Linked DNA regions of Caenorhabditis elegans. The protein of the gene in region 2 interacts with the protein of the main gene of each other region in a pairwise test. Each region holds a gene or a part of one and is shown on either strand. Other genes may lie near its edges.

Region 1 (4,549 bases), 1.0 Mb from region 2:
ACAAAGAAAATTTCAACATATGTTCTGCAAACGCCTAACTCGCAATAAAAATTAGTTGATATTCTATCTTCTTCCATGTTTTACTGAAATTAGTTATCAGTATTAACTCTCAGGAACCAGAATAAACTTACAAAATAAATTTCTGCAAAATATTAGGTTGAACCGGAAATCTTTGTGACTGGGTTTGCTTTTCCAACGCTAGCCGCAGTTGCACTTTGGTGTTCCCTTGTTGCTAGGGTATAACAACGAGTAAAGGAACTTCATTTTGAAAATCACCCCACTCCTTTCCCTTTGGTCTGAGTTCAGTTAGCCGACAATGTATTTATCTAGTGCCATCCACATCCGACATGGTTCGATGCACCTTTTTCTCTCTCATACCACGATGAAGGATTCGGAAAGTCTCCTGAAGGATGTTTATCATCGACATGTCCGCCACTATAATACTATATACATTTGGTTCCATCACTTCGAAAAGGACGACTTTTCTCTCGAAGACTCTGAGACCCCATAAATTGGATTTGGACACGTTGCAGAAAGCCATGGCAACGGATCCTTTCCAAACCTCCCGTGAGCTGTCAACCGCACTTCAATCCTATCAAACCATCATCGTACGGGGCTGGGAAGCTCTTGGAATGAAGAAAATTATGGGTCGATTCATACCTCACTCTTCGACACAAGCCAACCATGATTTTTGAGTGGATGATTCCATTTCACCCCTCACTCTCCATGGGGCCGATCGATGTTTGGGCCGACTCATCACTGGAACCGAGAAGTGGGTCCTCCATGATAAGAACCACACGCGTGCCCAGTGGTTTGTAGAAGGAGAAACCCCACAGGGTGCCGCCAAACCCGACCTTAACCCCAAAAACGTCATGCTCTCAGTGTGGTGGGGAGTGTACGGCCCCATCAACTGGGAACTGCTTCCTGGGGGCAAAATAGTTAATGGGGACCTTTAAGTTATCTAACCACAAAACCTAAGGAACATATTCAATCGTTCACCCCTGAAGGACGAGCAACTCTACTTTCAACAAAACAACGCTTATCCCTACGTCACGAAACAAGTATTGCAGGAACTGGTCAGGTATGAATGGATGATTTTCCTTCACCCACCGTATTCTTCAGACCATGCCCCATCTGCATACTGACAGTTTTCAGATATGACTCGTGATCTCCGGGAAAGAACCTTCAATACCCATGGAAGTGTCGAATTGGCACTCAAGCATTATTTCGACTCGCGCCTGGAAGGGTTCTGTGAGCAGGGCCTTCATAAGTTGCCCACACGTTGGCAGTACATTGCTGATAATAATAGCAAATAAATATTATTCTGTCGTTTCTCTTGCTCCGAGAAATAAACGATTGAAAAAGTCACAAAGACTTCCGGTTCAACCTAATATATAAACAAATAACTTTCGTTGTCGCGGTTACAATAATTCCAAGAATTGTAGAAACCCAATAACATAGGTAGAACTGTCATACTTCATACTGTCACAATTGATCAACAAATTCACAGAATAACAAAAAATTTGAAAAATTCCATGTATTAGACATCAGACAGGAACAATAATTGATAGTTTTGGATACGTGAAGCCAATGTTTTTGAAGTCTATTGGAGGCATAGATTTACCAGAGTAAAACTAGATTTTCATAATAAACTTATAAAAATTATCAAAGCAAATTTCAGGCAAATCTCTAAATTGACAAACATTTTTGGACACTTTCGAGATGAACTACTTACATGAATACATACTCTAATGCTGACTACACATTCCATTTCTTTATTTTTCTTACGTCTTTTGTTTCTTGTAATTTTTCATCGAGAACAGAGAACATAGAAATAGACACTCCAAGTAAAGAGAGATAATGTTAAAATGCAAGAGACGGTTTCAAATCGGGCGCTGATCATTTGAAAAGTTTGCAACTGAACTTAGTCTGAGTGGTATAAAATGCCTGAAAAAAATTAAGAGAATATGTTGAAGTCTAATTCTCGAACTCAAAATGAGGTACTTATTATTATTAGCATTTTTTCCCGTTGCTTTCGGGTTCAATTATCTTATTATTTCCCCAGTTTTTGGGTACAGTCATATGAAATTTATGGGAAGAATTGCAGACATCCTTGCTGATGCTGGACATAATGTGGTAAGGTTTACTTATTTAAATATTAAATTTCTTATAAGTTCGATTTTAGACTTTATTCCAACCAATAATTTATGATTACTATGCACACAAAAAAATTGTGAAGAATCCGAACATTGAAGTGATTAATTATGAAGTCGATGAAGAAGAAAAAGCTGCAGCTTCTGAAGCGAGTGTTTTCAAGTTTTTCTGGAAAGCAAAAGGATCTAAAAACCCAATCTCTTCTGCAAAAATTACATCAGAAAAACTTTACAAAGAGTTTGAGCATATTTGTAGAAGTAAGATTCATAGTTTTGTTTCAAAAATGCATTCATCAATTTTTAGAAATGCTTTTGGACAAGGAACTTCATCGTTGGATTCTATCGAAAAACTTTGACTCCCACATATCAGAGGCATTTGATTTTTGTGGTTTATGTAAGTAATAATTTAATTTACAATCAAAGTGAATAATCAATGTTAGATCTTGGAGACTTCTTGAAACTAAAATCACCAATCCCTCTCTATAGTGGAGTTCGATGTGGAGCAGCTTCATACGCTGTGGGTGAACCTATTCCATTGAATTACTTACCAACAGAGGGGTCTAATTATGGGAAGAAATCGAGCGCAATTGACCGATTAAGTGACATGCTTGGACTAACCGGTTATCACTTTCAATTCGGGATTTTGTTTGATAAACAATATGATCAAGCTTACCGATTAACTGGTGGAAATGTCCGAACTTGGCAAGAAATACTTCAAAGCTCCACGTTTTTCTTGACAAACTCCAATCCTTACTTATCATTTTCAACACCAACAATTTCAAAAGTGATTCAAATTGGAGGTTTCACTATTGAATCATTCAAAACAACTACACTCGATGAAGAATTTAACAAAATACTTTCGCTCAGAAACAACACCATTCTAGTGTCTTTTGGAACAGTTATTCAATCATCAGATATGCCAGATGATTTCAAAACTGGACTTATTGAAGCATTTCGCAGAATGCCAGATGCTACATTTATCTGGAAATATGAAGAGGATGATAAGACGTTGAAGAATAAACTTTCTGAAAACGTAGTTTTAAGCAAGTGGATTCCTCAGCCAGCTCTGTTAGCAGACAGTCGATTAGATTTGTTTGTGACTCATGGAGGTTTGGGAAGTACTATGGAAGTTGGATATGCAGGAGTGTCAAGTATTATGGTAAGTGAGATAATTCACTTCTGGTTTCACTATTTTCCTGTAAACTTTTGAAATATTTTTTCATCCAGATTCATGATTAGAATATAAAAATGTTTTACCACCCGCTAACCTTCTTGTATCAAACGTATATTTTCAGGTTCCTGTATTCAGTGATCAAGGAGTAAATGCAGAGATGTTAGCTCGCCATGGTGGTGCCATTGTCTATGACAAATTTGATCTTGTCGATAGCAAGAAACTAATGGAGACGATCCAGATGATTCTCAATAATTCTGATTACAGAAAGAATTCGAAACGTCTTTCTGATATTCTTCATAATCAACCAATGGATCCGAAGCAAGTACTTCTAAATCATTGCGAATTTGCGGCTCGATTTGCACAGGTTGATAATTTAGAACCATACGCCAATAAATACAACTTTATCGAATTTTATTGTCTTGACAGTCTAGCATTGGTTGTTTGTACAATTTCTGTTGTAGCATTAGTGATGTTTAAGATCTTAAGTTTTGTTGTCAATAGCGTAATCGAAAAATTGAAATTAAAAAAAGAATAAATAAATAATTTTTTTCCAATATTCACTAGTCAGTAGAAAGGGCATTATCAGTGCATTTATGCATAGAACAGTCCCGTGGAATTGTTCCTTTTGTTTGTCAACGAAATTTTGAACAGTCTGTAGTCCATTGGTTAGTTTGCAGTTGATACCCCTAAAAAAGTAAGTTATCAAAATGAAGAGAAATCGAAGCTGATAATATTTTATGTACAGGTACAGAAGGTAAACCAATACACTCTCTTCTTGTTTGCCATGCTTCAAATTGTACTTTTTTTGTTTATTTCAACTCTATTCGGTAATGCATATTCTTATAAATTTCTAGTCATTTCACCGGTTTATGGATTCAGTCATATGAAATATATGGCAGAATTAGCAAATCATTTGGCAAGAGCTGGAAATGATGTGGTACGTTTTTTTATTCAAAAAGTACTCAAGATTTCAAACGTGGCGTTACTTTTTGTTCTTCGAATAACGTCTGCAATTCTACTGGGACTTTTTGAAAAATTATTGTTAAGGTATCAATCTGTACAAAAAAGTGTGAAAATTATTTCTAGTTTAGTGGAGAAGCTGTATGTTTCAAACAATTTTATATGTAAATGATTTTCATATCCGTTTCTAATACAGGCTTCCAATTTTAACTATTCTTGCCAGAGCTCATACGCTTTTCACAGTTTTTTTTAATGAGAACTG
Region 2 (5,388 bases):
GGTGCATCAAATGAGACGATGACGTAGATGATGATGGTGCTGCTTGGGATTGATCAATCATTCGAGACTAAATGAGAAATTTTTTTTTAATTGGGATATCTCTTGATTATTTCAGGCAAAGTTTTAATGGTTCTTAAATGAAATTTTGAACAAAAAATTGTAGAGAAAGTAGGTATTTCAAGAGATATTATATGTATTATTGAAACTAAAACTTGAACTGTTCATAAGAAACAATTTTCTATCAAAAAGTTTGAAAAAACTAGTCGATTAATTCTGAAACAATAAGCAACATTGCTGTCAAGAAATTAGGTTCATATGGCAAACACATGTTTTCAGTCAGTCACGCGGAAACGGTCGGGTGGTCAATATAAAGGTTCATCACATTTCGCAACGTAGGCACAGATGAAAAATGACGTCAATTTTGATGTACATAATTTTTCATCAATACTTTCGCTAAAATGAAAACTCACATTAGCAGACTGTGTCGTCGTCGCGGATGACGATGTGGGTGCCGCTGGCGCGGGCGGAGCTCTCGGTACAAACCGAAAGTCTTCGGCGGTCTGCAGCTGAGACGACCGCTGCGGCTTCACGTTCGGCTGCTGTGTCGGAAGAATTTTCCTGTGAAAAACCAGAAATTAAAGAAATACCAAAGTGAAAATCCATTTTGAAAAGTATAAAAGCCGGAGGAATTTACCGGAGTATTTCAGTTAAAAATAAATATTTTAAAAAAATACAATTTCTGAAATTTTTTTTGAAACCACCTTAAAAAATTTTCGGGTTTCCTGTAACCTTATCACAATGGAAAATGGAAAAAAATAGGATATAAAACAATAATTTTCGGGTGGATAAAACAATTGTGTGTTGGCGTGAGAAAATTGAGGTTTGAAAGAGATCGTGAATCATCATACTGATGCTTTGGAATTAATTCAAATAAGTTGTTCACAACAAAGGCGGAGAAAGTGACTTGAAATCAGAGCAATTGACAAAAAATTATAATTTAAAAACATAAAAACATAACAGGAAATGGAAAATAACGTTAATTGAGAAATGTGAGAAATTTTTGTTAGTTCTCAAACAGAACGCACATCCTCTGCTCAAACTCGAAGAATCTCAAGAGTTTTGTTGAAGCAAATTGCAATCCAGTTACTGTGTACAGGACCCCAATGAATTTGATTGACCTGGAAATTGTATAGTAATGAAAGTTTTGAAACTGGAAATCTCCAACAAAATTTAGGTGACAATTCATAGTTTATGTTTTCTAAGAAACTACGTGCAACAGCTGAACGTAGTATGAAACTTCGATGTTTATGATTCCGGAAAAGCAGGTGGAAAAAAATTCACCCCGAAAACGGAGCCAAGCTAAGTTCGGCATAGAAGAAAAAACTTGGATGTAATTGTTAACTGTTTCAGCAAATGTAATGTAAACATGGTAGAATAAAAACAATCCGCTTCGAAAAACAGTTTTTAAACTCTCAGATCTCAAATATTCCAGTTTTCAAAGTGGCTCATTACTTGCAATTTTTAAGACTGCACCTCTGAGTCCCACTAGTGACATTGTAGAAAATTATGTAAAATTCTAAGAAATATAAGAAAATTTGATGCAAAAAATTAACAAAAAGGGACGCACCTTTTTTACCTTTTTATTCAATTTTCAGGTAAAATGTTCAATGAATGAATGAGATTTTTATAATTAAATTCAAATAACTGCGTGTAAATGTTTTTTTTTTGTAATCGTTAGTGTCAACTTTTGAAAGTTCTCTTTCAGCATTCGTTTTAATTTTCAGGTATATATATTTTTTAATCTCACTACTTTTTGATCTTGATCGGATAAGATTTTAAGTTCAAATTCAAATGCTCACCTCTCCACCAGCCGAATAAGCCAGAATCGGATCATCAACGGGTCTTGGAACCTGCTGCAGATCCCAAATCAGAGCTTGTGAATCGTCTCCAGCAGTACAAATGTGATGTGGACTGTGTGGGGCCCATGCAATTCCGTTCACTGGTCCAGTGTGATTACGGAGTCGACAGAGAATGTTGCATGGCATACGAATGTCAAGAATTTGAACTTCTTGACTGTTCTCGGCAAATAAAGCCATGAAATAAGGTTCTTGTTTGTTCCATGACAGTCTTTGAAGCTTCTCCTTGTTTGGATCTTCATAGACAATTGTCGAGTGGTTTAAATGTCGAAGATCAAACATTCGGGCACTTCCGTCAGCTCCTGGAAACTCGTAATGTTTATAAAAAGATGCAAATACTAGCTAGACAAGACTCACCAACAGTTGCAAAATGATCACGACCGCCATTGATTTTAGCAAATTCGATATCGTGAACAGGCTTGTCATGAGCAATCAGTTGTGTTTTGAGTGTGAATGGAGCTGTCGGCTTGGTCTGCCCAATTGCGCAACCAACCTGAATATTTGTAAACATTTCACTAAATCTTATCAAAATTATAACTCACCTCAACATCATAAATTGTGCAAGTCGTATCTACACTGGAAACTCCAATATACCTCGGCTCCAGCTCGTTCCAGTCGAAACTTGTCAAAGCTGATCCATATTGTGAGTTCTGAAAATTCCATTGAACACTAAAAATTTACAGGTTTAACGTACAGTATTATTGATCATAACTGCGTCTGGATGAACTTTTCCATCAACTACTCGCCAGAGGCGAAGGCAATCTGATGTTGTGGCAATGAGATCAGGGTAAACGTTGTCTGGATCCGGAATAAAACCGACTGCATTGGCTGGGAACTCCATTGGAAAGCTCGCCGTCTCGACAAGCTCGCCAGTTTCGTCTTTTAGTTGTACAATTGATACCTGAAAACGTTTTAATTGGAACTGTTATGTTTCAAAATACATATAAATTTCGTTTTTTTTTTTTTTAACTTTTACATTGGAGTACAGTCTATAGGGTTTTCAATTCAAAATATTCGAAATGTTTTAATATACATACTGAAATACCGCAAAAGGAAAGACAAAAATTATGTTTAAAACCTGAACAGTTCAATTTCGATTTGTTCCGATTTCCAGTTTTTCTAAATTGTGTCTTTGAACTATAGTAAAACTCGACTCAAAAATATAACTCAACTCAAAAATAAGAACGATCGCTGTTTAATCTTGCAGTTCTTATTTTGTAGACAACTTAAACAGTAGATTAGAATTTGCAAAAACCCGTTTTTTAGAATTGCGTTTTTTGTGGTATTTCAGTAAATGGGACCTTATTGACTATGGCCAACATTACCACTCACACGTTTTCAAATTTTTCAAAAACTCACCTTGTTTGCGGCACATGGGTTAACGGACACGTCGGATACTGTTCCCACAGCAAGTCGAAATTTGATATCATTTTTGTTGCTCCATGCCGATGCATACAACTGTTGATCAGACGTGAATTTATAGATCTCACAACGTCGATCACGTCCTCCGATCACAATTTCGTTCTGTCTTCCGATCCCTTGCGGAGCTAATGGTCCTGGTGGAGCTGGTTGTTGTGCGACTTGTTGCATAACATGAGCTTCTCCGTTCACTGCGTGACCATTGGTAGCCATTGCAGGTGATAAGGGTTCACAAGTTTCTGCAAGATAAAACACTGCGTGAGGGGATTATTAGAATAATTGGAAACTAGTAAGCGAACGAGGGAAAGAGCGAAAAAAAAGTGAGAGTAGTAGTTTTCAAATCGAATTCGACAAAACAGAAAGGTTCCAGGGAAAAGACGATCACAGAGAATACGGTAAATCAATAGACGCAGGGAACACGAGAACGAGAAAAATAAAATTGAAAAGTAGAAGGACACAGGAAGAAAATGAGGGAAAAAGAGAGAAAGAGAGGGAAGAACGCACTTTGTTACACTAAATCGAAAACGAATGGAATGGAGGTGGTGGTGGAATGTTGAAGATGAAAAGAAGGCAGTAGAGAGCAGGAGAGCAGCTCAAATGAGACAGGTGAAGTTGAAAAGGGATTCGATTATTTCAACAAGGCAGGGGGGGGGGGGGGTAGATCAAGTTGTTTCTAGGTCATTTTGATGTGATATGACATTATAAATCAGAAAAGAAATGCTAATCAGGTAGTTGTAAAGCTTGAACGATTGCCATGTTTTTTAAAGCACACTACCAAAAACATAAAAGTAAACGACAAACAGATTCAATTAAGTATAAGAAAATTGAGTCCAAAACACCGAGATATGGGCAATTCCTATATTGGGATTTCAGTCTATTCCAGATTAATGCCGACACTTTTAATTTAAATTTGGACAGCCTAATCATAGAGATCGAAAATTTAATTTAAGCGAAAAAATAGAAAGAAACAATTTTAGAGGAGTAAAATTGATCACATACTATAGTTTTGTTTATTGCATTCTGAATTTTTGACAAACATTGGATATTCAAAACTGACTTGATTTGAACTTTTTTGGAGGTAACGCTGATTGGAAAATGAGCTGAAAAAATGTAGCAAGTTTTGGACAAAAATTGTAATTTTCGAAGTTGTCAAGAGGACCAAAATTCAACTTTTGCATAAAAAAAAAGAAGAAAAACTGGAAGTTAGTTCTGAGAAAATTTTTGTTCGGACAATTTTTTTTCCAATTTAACATTATAAAAATGGAATTATTTTGCAAACTTTTCCAAATTTCGAACATTTTCCGAATCTATTTCCAATTTGGAAAAAAACAATGAAAGTTCGAACAAGAACAGAAGAAAATTATCCAAAAGATCACATTGAAAAGTTTGCAAAAAATAGTTAGTGGTCAACTGGGAATACCCGCATTAGTTCACTAATGAGCAACAATGGAATTAGGGAATTAGGAGGAATGTAAAGAGACAGAAACAGTGCGTTGCAGATTGTAACCAATCGATAGTATGCAAATAGTGTAAACTGTGCAGTGTTCGTCTATTCACCGAAGGGGGCCACCGACTAGCTGCACTGGACGAGGTAGTAGGTAGAAATAGGAGAGTTACACAGAGAGTTAGAGACCATTGCGTGAGTGCGTGTGTGAGTGAGTGAGAGAGTGAGTGAGCGAAGCAAAATGAAAAAAGAAGAAACGAAAAGATTCTCTGCGTTACGTGCCGTCTGTCCATCTCGTTTTGCAGAAATGGAGACGCAGAGGTCGGCTAGACGGACATGCAATGCGGCTAGCGGATACGTTGACCCCGAATACTCGGTTGCAGGTGGAAGAGAAAAAATGAAATTACAAGGAGCACATGACGCCAGAAACGGTGCATTATGATGCAAGTTTTCCGGATCTGGATGATCGTAGAATACGTTCCAGTTGACTTTAAAAACACTGAAGCTCCGTGAGAGTTATGTAAAACTGCCCTACAATCTACCTTGATAATTTAGAAGTATTAACTGTAAAGACTGGAACAAGCCATTCAAAAAGAAATCTGATCTGAC

What was found.
Region 1: the proteins of swan-1 (region 2) and ugt-3 interact in a two-hybrid assay, tested with the Caenorhabditis elegans proteins (one large-scale study listed by BioGRID).

What each region holds. Positions count from the first base shown.
Region 1 is NC_003283.11:12,797,640-12,802,188, reverse strand, and holds ugt-3 (glucuronosyltransferase), read left to right. Parts: upstream 1-1,917; 5' UTR 1,918-1,995; coding exon 1,996-2,136; intron 2,137-2,185; coding exon 2,186-2,411; intron 2,412-2,457; coding exon 2,458-2,547; intron 2,548-2,593; coding exon 2,594-3,312; intron 3,313-3,448; coding exon 3,449-3,862; 3' UTR 3,863-3,881; downstream 3,882-4,549. Other genes in the region: ugt-6 (UDP-glucuronosyltransferase), read left to right, coding at 4,112-4,264.
Region 2 is NC_003283.11:13,803,664-13,809,051, forward strand, and holds swan-1 (WD_REPEATS_REGION domain-containing protein), read right to left. Parts: upstream 3,575-5,388; 5' UTR 3,549-3,574; coding exon 3,276-3,548; intron 2,818-3,275; coding exon 2,611-2,817; intron 2,567-2,610; coding exon 2,459-2,566; intron 2,410-2,458; coding exon 2,274-2,409; intron 2,219-2,273; coding exon 1,860-2,218; intron 1,179-1,859; coding exon 1,095-1,178; 3' UTR 732-1,094; downstream 1-731. Other genes in the region: swan-2 (WD_REPEATS_REGION domain-containing protein), read right to left, coding at 1-61.